Linked DNA regions of Oreochromis niloticus. The protein of the gene in region 1 purifies or fractionates together with the protein of each later gene. This does not show direct contact. Links are inferred from orthologs where the notes say so. Each region holds a gene or a part of one and is shown on either strand. Other genes may lie near its edges. The genes, in order: polr2g, scaf1 and ctdp1.

Region 1 (3,751 bases):
TTACGTCCCATCTTGAAGGCTTCTCATTAAAAATAATTTTTAACTTTCTGTGAAACATAATTTAGGGCGCTGTCCCATTTCTAAGCTACTGAACACATTTCTTTTGGACAAACAGTGACTCACAGGTTACACATTACCAAAATAATCTGAAATGAAAATAAACACAGCAGTATTTTAAAAGTTAAAACAAAACAACCCCTGTTACAGGAATATATTTCACAAATATCTTCCAGTTGTGATTTCATCATCAATCCCCTGCAGTGCAAGCAAGTATGAAAAGACCTCATTTTTACGTGTGTTGGATACATTCATTCATACCAGGCAATATAATGCATTCTTTTTAAAGGTAGCTGCTAAGCCTGCATACCAAACACAACCCAGAGTGCTATAGATATCCTGGAATGTGACAGGATTTACATGTGTAGTTTTGCAAACGATGGAGGTTTTGAATTTTAGAAATCCTTTTCTGAAAGGAAGAATTAATAAACAGGTCTAGACTACATGGAGTCAGGAAATCTAACATCCATCTATCCACACTTTGTCCAATTTAGACTCACCAATTAACCTAACCTCACTAAAAGGGTGTCTTAGAAGCCGGAGTACCCGGAGAGAAGATCCAAACACCACACAGAAAGGCCCTGGACCTCCCCGAGTTTGTCCATGCAATTGAATCTCAGACAAAACGCACCTGCTGCTAAAACAAAGACATACAGCACACAAGCACACCTGTGTCCTTGTTCATCAGTTCGTTGTAGTATGCAAAGAAGGCTCTGAACTCTGCCGGCCTGTGAGACAGCACTTTAAAGACATTGGGCAAAAATCCTCCCTGTAAGGAAGCACAGGTTTAATGGGGAGCAGAATCAAGTTCAGCAGACTTAAAGACCTTGAACGCCTCATATGTAAACCTTTGATTCCACTTCCTCCATAAGCTCCACTATATCATACGGCAGATCTTTCTTGTAAGGAATTGGGTATCGGCTGATTTTCTCTGGTGGAGAGCCACTGGAGGAAGATCTGGTGCCCGTCGCTGCTGCCGCCGCCCCCTTCCCCCGAAACAAGCAACCTGAACGGAGACACACCTGCAGGGAGGACAGCGCAGTCACATAAAATCACCCATAAAGTGCGCTGGAGATAGCCTACAAAGTGGAAAAGTATGGAACAACTTACAAGCTGTGTCAGAGGAGGGCGGAACAGCTTCGAGACGAGGTTACTCGCCATGTCAGTCAGCAGAAACTGGAGGCTGGTGTGAGATTAATCTGATCGTCAGTCAGCTACTGCTGTATCCAGGCGAAGAGGTTTTTAAGGAAGTCAGACTAATCCTTAAGAGGCACAAAGTTAGAGCTAATGTCGCTAAGTTAAACAGGGATATTTACCTATCCAGCTTTCAGTCACCTATTCGACTCCACAGTGCGTCACATTACACAATAACTGAAGCAGTGTTGACCATTAATTAGCTACCGTGTTAGCAAATAACTCGTTTTTGCTTCGTTTATATGTCAGATGTTAATAGTCTCGTGGAAAACAAACCAATCAAAACCCAGTATGGAGGCACGCCTGCTGCACGTCCACACCCTCACGCACTAGTCCTCCTCACCGACAGGGGTCAGTCTGTGACTGGATTGAAAAGGTTAGCCTGATTTCTGTGGGTCGTTTAAATAGTTAATTAAGCGATTCTTAGATAAAGCAGATAAAGTATTTAAATTGTTATTAATATTTATTATTTAACTTAACTTGTGATTATTAGAGCTGACTTTCGTGTCTACCAAAATTAGGAAAGAAAAGCGACACGCTCCTGAGAGACAGAACTGAGGGCAACAACATCCCATATCCCAACATCGTCCTCTGACTCGGAAGTGACTTTGTCAAGAACAAACGAGCGGCTGGTTTTCATTCAATACACGAAAAAACATCTTTTGGAAAATATAATAAAACGATTTTTGAGTTGGGACTAAACGTAAACAGACCGAAATGTTTTACCATGTAAGTATTTGTATTGCTCTCCGTATATAATCGCTAACAGCAGTCTGGTTCTGTTGTTGATAAGAGTTTGGCTGGCGTGCTTGTAGCTACTGTAGCTTTGTAAAACTTTATCATATACCCTTAAAAGCTGTTATCACTGTTGCGCTTTTATAGTTGTGTGGAGATGATACCAGTGTTTTTTCTCTTGTTTTTGAACGGCAGCAGAATAGCTTGAGCAGTGACGTTGTCCACGGCAAGCTAATTTAGAGAAGCCTTGTTTTCACAGATTTCTTTGGAGCACGAAATCTTACTACATCCGAGATATTTTGGTCCAAATCTGCTGAACACCGTGAAGCAGAAGCTCTTCACAGAGGTCGAGGGGACCTGCACTGGCAAGTGAGTGACTCTTGTGTTTGACTTAAAAATACTTTAAATCAAAGGCTAAAAAGAGGTTGAAATTTGACCTTTGGCTTCTGGAAAACTGGGCCACAGATGGAGGTTGTTTTGCAATTTAAATAATTTGTTTAATTCTGTCTTGCAGGTATGGCTTCGTCATTGCAGTTACCACCATTGACAACATCGGAGCTGGCGTAATCCAACCAGGCAGAGGTTTTGTCCTCTATCCAGTCAAATACAAGGCCATTGTCTTCCGTCCGTTTAAAGGAGAAGTTGTGGATGCAGTGGTCACTCAGGTTAACAAGGTGAGGGGCAGGTTTAGAGTCTTAAAGCCCTAACACAGTGTTCATACCATGCTGTAGGAAAGTTTTTGCCCCCTTTCTGATTTCTTAGTTTTTTGTTTGTGTTTGTTTTTTTTGTTGTTGTTTTTTTCATATTTGATGATCATCAAAAAAAAATTATATCAGAGAGAGGGTTTTAACTTTAGTAAATACAAAATGCAGTGTTAAATGAATTCATTTATTAAGGGGAAAAAAGCTATCCAAAACCTAGTTGGCCCTGTGTGAAAAATAATTCCTGCTACATTTTAAATCTTACATTAAATATGACTAATCATTTTGGAATTTTTTATTTTTTTTGGAAAGTTGAGTTCAGTTTCACTATCCACACCCAGGGCTGATCACTGTCAAACCTGTTGACTCAAGAACTCACTTAACTTGTTGGGGATTTCCATGTTTGTTAGTTTTTTACCTTACAATATAAAGCGCCTTGAGGCAGCTGTGGTTGTGGTTTGGCACTAGATAAATAAAACTGAATTGAATTGAAGTAGGACTGGTCTGACAAAGTGATGTAGGCTAAAAGATCTCAAAAAGCAACACACTAAAGAAACTCAAGAACAGATGAGAAACAAAGTCAATGACACATGTCAGTCTGGGAAGAGTTACAAAGCCATTTCTAAGGTTTTGGGACTCCACTGAACAACATTGAGAGTGTTTAACTACAAATGGAAAAATGCATTCAGCTGTCTGTGCATTGAGGCTCTCTGTGACTTGGATTATGCAGCAGGACAATGAGTCAAAACAAGTACACCTCTGGATGGTTAAAAAGCTAAAATAAGAGTTTTGGAGTGGCATAGTGAAAGTCTGGACTTAAATCGAATTGATATGCTTTGGCATAAAACCTGCCACCACCTCTCCCTTCTCTTGTCTCTATATCCTGTATTCCAGCCATCCTATAAGATGTAGAAATATAAAAAAAAATGTACTTCTGAATTTTCTGAATCACTTTAACAGCCAAAGTGTTAAACTAAATGTGTCCAGTTTTAAAAAATGAAGTCATGAATTGCTGAAAAAGAATAGTGTTTTGTCTTCCTTTTGAAATGTTTCTAAATATGTCT
Region 2 (3,751 bases), on another chromosome or scaffold:
GTGGACAAACTGTTTGAATCTACATGTTGTGTATGTTTGGAAATGTATATACCTGCCTTACACAAATAAAATTAGACAATGGCAACAAATGAACCAAAACGTGTTAAATAGTGTATCTGTGACAGCAGTTTTCATGTTGCTTATGTTAAATGGCTTTGTGTGGTTGTTTGATGTGTGAAGTCCGTTTCTACGGTTTACAGTACAGAGCTTAGTTTTTAACACGTGTTAGGAATGTGCTGGTCCACTTTAGACACTCTGCACACAAACATTGGACTTTGTCTCAGCCACAGTGCAGTCTGTTATGTTTCAGTTATGCACACGGGTGGTGTTTTACCTCTGGTCTGCATACACACTGCTGACAAATTAAAAGTGTTGGTAGCCCAACACTTCTCTCCTTTGTTCGTGCGCCAACCCAACAACTAACCTGTGCGTTTAATATGAACATGTACGAATAGTCTGCTGGGTTTGTCATGTCACAGCAGTACCTGTTTTACTGAAGAGCCAGAAGGAGAAAAAATCCTAAGAAAAGGCAGCAAGGTTAGTATTTAAAAAAGAGGGAAATTATATTCTAAAGATATGAATAAGAAGAACCTCACAACACTGCTGTGGCCATACTGGATGGCATGTTCTTATCATGTCTGTTCACTCCAATGTGCTATCGCAGTCCAAAAACATGCATGGTTATCATCACAAGTGTAAATATGAGTGTTAGCCCTGCAGCCGGTGGATGACCTGTCCGGGCTTTTACACTATGGCAGCTGGGATAGACAGACACTGGATGGATGGGTGATGTTCAAAGCCAGCTGAGCCTGGATGTGCTGAAGAACTACTGTCTCCTTACTTTAGTAACAGGTGTTTTTACCTGAGGAGTTCTGCTTTTGCCAATTTCTAAACTTTGTCTGTGTTTTGGTACATTTGATGCTTCATATATGGAATCCATTTATGCAAACCTTTTAAAAGTAAAAGTGAGTTATGACAGTAAACATGTTCATGTTACTTTGATCTATGAGTTCGGTTTAGGGTAGCATACTTCAGACAGCTGTCTGTAAACCAGTCACAGCAGAAATGAATTAGTTGTTACAAAAAAGACACTTTTTTAAAAGCCAGTTTGAACTTCTATGTGTAAATGTGTAACGGTGTCATGATCACGGCACATCAAAGGCAACTTTAATGGTGTGTGGTAAACGATGTATGCGGCTCTTTTGTAGCACCTGCGATTCACTCGGTTTCCCATCATTCTTTGTGTCCGGTTTCAGGGGAGGGAAGATGGCGGTGACTGGTGGAACAGACCCGTTTTAAATACTGGTACGTATTTAAGCACCACAAAAAGCAGCATATATCTAATTTCGTGGTTTGATTGAATGTCTGACAAAGTAACAGCCAGTAGATGTGAAGCGGTGGCTTTGGCCTGAGACAGAAGGTCACCGGGATGAAGGGAACCCATCAACATACTCCTCTTCTTGCTAGGTGCGCTAAGCTAATTAGCTACATGGGTAACTGAAAATCTGCCGCCAGACATTTTTAGCGTCTGTTAGTAAATCGAGTGTGCGACCCGTGACAAACCTGCATTACACATAATGGAGTTAATGGTCAAAACGCAAGGCGGAAAGATGTTTTGTAAAGCAGCCAGCGCGCTGTCCAGGCACGAAAATCTAATGATAATGCTATCTGTGACAAGCACTGAGAAATAAAAGTCCCTAATATGGAAGCTAAACGTATTTTTCTTTTCTTTTACAAGTCAGAAATCACGTAAGCGTCCCAACAGAGAAGGAGAACGACGGTAATGTTTAATTCACCGTGTAAACAACAGAGAGACAGTCATGTGCTGCGCAGTTTTTTTTTAATGATTGTGTTCAATGAGTGTAGACTGAAAAATGTGTGTGTTGACCCGGTGTAAGGGTCGACTCCTCCGACGGCTGCCTTCAGCTGTCTCTCAGCTCACCCTGGTGAGAGCGCAGTGGGACTCAGTGGGCCCCCTCAGACTGGCTCTGGTCTTCTGTTTCGTATGACTGGACTCCAAACTCTGATTACACTCCCGACTGCAGAAGCATGTTAACAGGCAGATGAACGTTTAGCTCTTTGTAACAACAATAATAATATCATTCAAATTCCTTCAGTCAGTCTTTTCTTTGTTTCGCTGTACTGTACTAAAGACATGCCCTCTCTTTGACAACACAATTGTAGAAACAGTCTAACCTCTGAGTATCCACCATGGTATTCATCATTTGTCACGATCGTAGGCTCTCCACGGAGCATTTCCACTTGGATTATATTGTAACGTAAAGTGACACATGTTCTTTTCTTTCTGCAAGGTTGGTTCCTGAGCCCTGTTTTCTGGTGTGACCTGCCACGCCCTAGGTGTCTCAGTATTACTTCCCTCACTTTTTGACCCACCGGTATTTCTGGCTCATGGACTTGACTTTGGCAACAGGCTTCAGAAGGAGGCCTGGTGCCTCCTCTTCCCCAGGTGGAGTTGAAGAGACCTCAAAGAGCCCTCCTTCCTACTCACCTTCATTGTCTGCATCATCTCCTTCAACCAGTCCATCTTCACCATTGTCTACATCCTCCTCTATGTGTGCCAACACATCAGTTTATCCAAGCCGTGTAAAAAGCCAGTTCAATGGAACAGAGAGAGCCAGGGTTTCCTCCACTTCTGCCTCTCTAGCTACGCAGTCTCTCTCTAAACCTACATGCAGTACCACCTCCTCAGATTGTTTGCCTCACACTTTAATGCAACAAAGTGCTGACTGTGAAAAACAGGAGAGGAAAAGGGTGATGTACAATCCTTTCAATCCAAATAATGGAGCTAGAGAAGGAACAGAGATGAAGGAGGTGGGGGAAGGAGAGAAATACGATCCTTTTGACCCCACTGGTTCCCCAGCATCAGATGTTGATGATGAGAGTGGCAAAGCAAGGATCCTGAAGAGAAACACTATGAGAGAAGAAAAGGAGAAGGTGGAGGAACCTCCAGATTCCACGGACGCCTTCACTGACCTTCCAAGCGCCTGTCTGAGCACTCAGCTCCCTCTGAGGAGGAGGGTGGACTGCAGCACCATGAAAGCTGATTCAGATCACTCTGAGATAGAGGAGGGCGAGATAGTTGGAGCCATTGAAAGAGATGGAAGCACTAAGAGACCTGTAGAGGAAACCCTCCCCCTAAGTTCTCCCAGCATCTCCTTCTTTGGGTCAAAGCCAGAGCGAATCTTCCGAGTGCTAGATGGGGATGGCTTTGTGTCTGTTTGCACAGAGGGCAGCTGGGAAGTAGACACTGAGCTCAAGGATGAGCCTGTGGTAGGAGTAGAGGATCTGAGAAGGAAGCTGGTCAGCAGAAGGAAGGAACGATATCTCTCCTTTCCTGCTTCTTCACCCTGCTCCCCCCAGCTGCCACCGCCACCACCGCCGCCGCCTCCTTCTCATCCTCCAACCTCTACATCCTCATCCCCTTTAACGCCTCCTGAAGATCAGGGCGGCAAAAACTCCAAGGGCCACAGCCAACAAAAAAGCAAAGATAGAAAAGACGGAGAAAAGGAGATTAGAAGAAAAAAGAGAAGGAAAGGCAAAGAGTGGGGTCAGGAGTTGAACAAGAAAAAGGCGCAAAAGATGGGCAAAGAGGATAAAGGAAGAAGGAGCAGCAGGAGCAGCAGTCGGAAGAGGAAAAAAAGATGGCACAGCAGCCCAGAGACTTCACGGTCCTGCAATTCTTCAAGAAGAGATGCCCACACCAGATGGTCGTTTTCCAGCCTGTCTGAAG
Region 3 (3,751 bases), on another chromosome or scaffold:
AACATCAAACGTTTTGTTAATAACTAGAACCTGTCTTTAGCAAATAGGTCTATTTATTGATGGAAATAGATTGTATAACTTTAACCACACTAGTGCTAAGTCCATCCATCGACCCACTGCATCCACCCACTGACAATGATCTAGGTTAGGTAACAGAAGCCCTCTTGTGTGCAATATACATAATTTTATTTAAAATATAATTTCAGGAATTTCATGAGTTCCTTTAAATTACTAATTTTGCCTCAATGAAAAAAAAGAAGATTCAATTTCATTAACCCCACATATCAGACAATCTTCTCAAAAGCATAACAACTTTCATAAATTTAATAAGAAAAAAAATGTCTATTTCATAATTTGTAGAACATAGTATAAGATTATTTTTAAATACCAAACGTTAACGGAAGTTGCTATAAAATACTTGTGTAAGCTATGTTTTATCGCTGGTATTCCAAGATTATTTCTAGGGCTTTTATTGTGAAATATAAGAAGAAAGGCGTTTTCACACCTGCGTGAAAAAGAAATCGGGTAGTGAAACATCTCGGTTAGTTGAAACGAACACTCTGGAAGGAGGTGCTTAAGTTCTACGTCATTGAACAGTTAGAACAGCGCGAGGTACGTCCTTGTCCTGTAAGGTCATCATCTATCTCCTCTGCTTCCTTCCTTCAGTCCCATCTTCAGCCTGGAAAGTTAAATATTAACATAACTCGAGGGTCGGTGTAATCTATACAATCAAACCTAAGGCTTTCTTAAACTATAACAACCTCCTTCACTTACACCTTAAACATGACTGCATTTGTAAATATCATGCTCTTATTGCAAAACCCCCATGAGACACTTGTGTAGTGTTACTTATATGTTACATCAAGTTGCGTCAGGTAACACCATGTCTGTGCGGGTTCAGGGGCTTTAACGAAAAAGGGAAAAATAAATAAAGATCTTGCACGGTTCGAGTGGATTTTAACACAATATGTAAGCGCTATGTAGGTGATATCTATAATAAGGAGTAGTTAAAATAACCACATTGGTGACTCTAAAAGTTTACGGCAACATTGTGAAAAGCGTCACAAAGAGGCATCTGCCGATAATAACAATCCACGAGTCGTTTTATTTTGAAACCTAAGTAGAAACTGCGTTCAGAGACGATCGAGGGAAGTAGTTTCATTTCCTATTAATCCCACTGTGCACAAACTGACTGTAGATTAGCCAGCGGCACCGCAGAGGGCGCCGGCGAGCTCGTCCTCGATGATCACAAGTGTAAAAGGACCTAAACGGCTAAAACCTGCTTCTAGACAAAAACCCACAAATTACTATTATTATTAATTTTTGCATACCTATAATTTTGACGACCTAAAATATAACAACAGTTACGTCATTTCCTTTATCTTAAAAAAGAAAGAATCGGATTTTCCGAAAACCAAACCTGCAAGTTGATTGGTCAATTTAGGATTCACTAGCTTCGTGCCCAAAATCAAAATGGCAGATGCCGTAAAGTGTCTTATTATTGCGCTGTCACATAAAACGCATTTTAACTACAATCGAACCCCGTAAAATGTTTTTCGAAATTTAACTGAGTCCATTGTCTCACATTCACCTATAAAAACACACGATTAAAGTCCCCAGCATAACATTCTCCACAGAATTTACATTTGGGGGCTTCACGTCCACGGGGATGTATTCATTCTGGACTACCTCGCGAGCGCCCTCTAAGAAAACAGGGATCCAAAGAGTGGGCGTTCTCGGAGACGATAGCAGTTCTCTGGTGTTTTTCGCGAGTGGCTTGCTGTATACCGGATGCTGTAGCGACCCGTGTCGCTGCAGTGTTGCGCTTTCCTGTTTACGGGCGGGAAGAGCGAACGTAGCTGGGACTGTGGAGCTGCTGTGTTTAAATCTGCAGCACATTTGTTTTAATTCTCCTCGATGTTGACGGTTCGCACGTTTTAATGATACACGGGGCTTTGCGAGGTCGAGTGGATACCTTTTAAGCTGTCAGCTTTTCAAAAGTAAGGAGATTTTGTTTTTGGAGAGTGCGGGGCAGATGGAGGATCCTCCTGCAGATTTTGGTGGTGGCGGCGGTGGTGCAGCTGCAGAGGGCCCCGTGGTGCAGGTGGCGGATATCTGCTGGCCAGCCGGGGCTCTCCCTGTCCGGCTTATAGAGTGGAAAGTCAAAGCCGGCTCTCTTGTTAACGTGGACTCCGTGCTAGCACTGTGTGCACCCATACCTCAAGAGAAGGGGACTGATGGTGCCAGGCTGCCAGAGAAGAAGGTGAAATCGGACCGTGCTGGAATAGTGAAGGAGCTATGCAGTCAACTTGGACAAGTCATATCTCCCGGGTGAGTCACCCTGCTTGCTATAGCTCGTTAATGTTAGCTGACCTGTTCCCTGTTTGTGTCAGCTCAGTTTTGTTGCAGCTGTCTTCATGCTCACTGTACCTAAGCTAGCTAACGAGCTAACACTGTTAACCTGACGTTAGCTTGTTTGCTAGCCACGCTCAAAGCAACACAGCGGAGCGTTTGCTCTGACCAGTCAAGTACCGCAAAATAAACAAGCTGGCGTTTCGTCGGGGGCTTTCAAAATAAGAGCATCGTGTTTTATAAATATTATTTTATCTAGCTTTGTCAGGAGTTGTGATTGTGGTGAAAGAGAAAGTTAGAAAACAATTTTATTTGCTATATCAGAATTTTGATTAACATGCAGTAATGATTGAATTTACAAACCTCCGCACTTTTGTTTTGAAGGCGCGACCACGTGGTAGATGCTCTCGTGCTGTTTGCCTTGACGCAGCCACTATCGCGTGCACAAAATTGTGTACAAGCAGTGCAGATTGACAGGTAGAAGAGTGACCCTGGAGGCAGCCGTTATCCTCGTGAGCTTGAACCAGCCGTGTATATGTATGTATGTGTGTGTGTGTGTGTGTGTGTGTGTGTGTATGTGTATATATATATATATATATATATGTACTTTAACGCGTATTAATTCACAGTAACGGGAGACGTGTATCTTAGCAGTTAATTAGTAAAAGAGGAGATTTTGAAGTTCTCTTTAATTGGTTTGACCGGTCTCTTTGTGCTTTATTAAGTATTAGCATCACTTCTTATGCGGAATATATCAAATTTAAAAGAAATGTCCTATTTTTGAAAACTTTACATTTAAATTCGACACCTTTTGATATTAATACACATTCAAAGCTGATATAGTTGTTATTTGCTATTAGGAAAGGGTCGTGCTGCTTTCAGGTACTCTTTGTAAACTCTTGCTCCCGGCTTAGTCTACTGTTAGCTGTTTATAATACTTTAACAGCGTCTTATTATTACAGCTATATAAAGTGAAACACCTAATTAACAGCTTTCTTTATGTTTCTTTATGTACTTGCATGCTACAGTTAATGAGAATCTGTGCACAGTCCCAGGCTTCAGTTTGCAAGCAAGTTAATTGGGTCTTTAATTATTTTCCTGTTTTTTCCTTTTTCCAGGGGCATCATAGTCAGAATAGAAGAATGCAGCCATCCCATCGTCATGAAGGGCTTATGTGCCGAATGTGGTCAAGATCTAACTCAGTAAGTACATGCTTTATCTCTCTTTTTTGTTTGTTTGTCTTTAACTTAAATCTTTGTGTTTTTCTGATCTGCTCAGGCGTTTTCCCCCCAAGAACTTTAATTTCCCCCCTTTTATTGCATAGATATATCTATAAACAATAAAACAAACTAAAATGGAACAGCAAACCCCTCCATATAGGCTCATTTGGGATGGATGT

What was found.
Region 2: the proteins of polr2g (region 1) and scaf1 purify together in Homo sapiens (affinity purification with mass spectrometry; 3 studies listed by BioGRID and IntAct, counting the BioPlex papers as one, with this or other methods). This does not show direct contact. The link is inferred for Oreochromis niloticus from reciprocal best matches to the Homo sapiens genes POLR2G and SCAF1.
Region 3: the proteins of polr2g (region 1) and ctdp1 purify together in Homo sapiens (affinity purification with mass spectrometry; 4 studies listed by BioGRID and IntAct, counting the BioPlex papers as one, with this or other methods). This does not show direct contact. The link is inferred for Oreochromis niloticus from reciprocal best matches to the Homo sapiens genes POLR2G and CTDP1.

Annotation. Positions count from the first base shown.
Region 1 is NC_031966.2:22,184,360-22,188,110, reverse strand, and holds the start of polr2g (DNA-directed RNA polymerase II subunit RPB7), read left to right. Parts: upstream 1-1,501; 5' UTR 1,502-1,627; intron 1,628-1,772; 5' UTR 1,773-1,968; coding exon 1,969-1,980; intron 1,981-2,245; coding exon 2,246-2,355; intron 2,356-2,500; coding exon 2,501-2,660; intron 2,661-3,751. Other genes in the region: uncharacterized protein si:ch211-175m2.5, read right to left, coding at 727-826, 906-1,079, 1,168-1,218. UniProt on the Homo sapiens protein: Core component of RNA polymerase II (Pol II), a DNA-dependent RNA polymerase which synthesizes mRNA precursors and many functional non-coding RNAs using the four ribonucleoside triphosphates as substrates.
Region 2 is NC_031969.2:2,175,648-2,179,398, forward strand, and holds the start of scaf1 (splicing factor, arginine/serine-rich 19), read left to right. Parts: upstream 1-1,237; 5' UTR 1,238-1,305; intron 1,306-1,320; exon of another isoform or gene 1,321-1,467; intron 1,468-2,312; 5' UTR 2,313-2,409; coding exon 2,410-3,751.
Region 3 is NC_031985.2:31,525,954-31,529,704, reverse strand, and holds the start of ctdp1 (RNA polymerase II subunit A C-terminal domain phosphatase), read left to right. Parts: upstream 1-1,441; 5' UTR 1,442-2,035; coding exon 2,036-2,331; intron 2,332-3,470; coding exon 3,471-3,554; intron 3,555-3,751. UniProt on the Homo sapiens protein: Processively dephosphorylates 'Ser-2' and 'Ser-5' of the heptad repeats YSPTSPS in the C-terminal domain of the largest RNA polymerase II subunit. This promotes the activity of RNA polymerase II.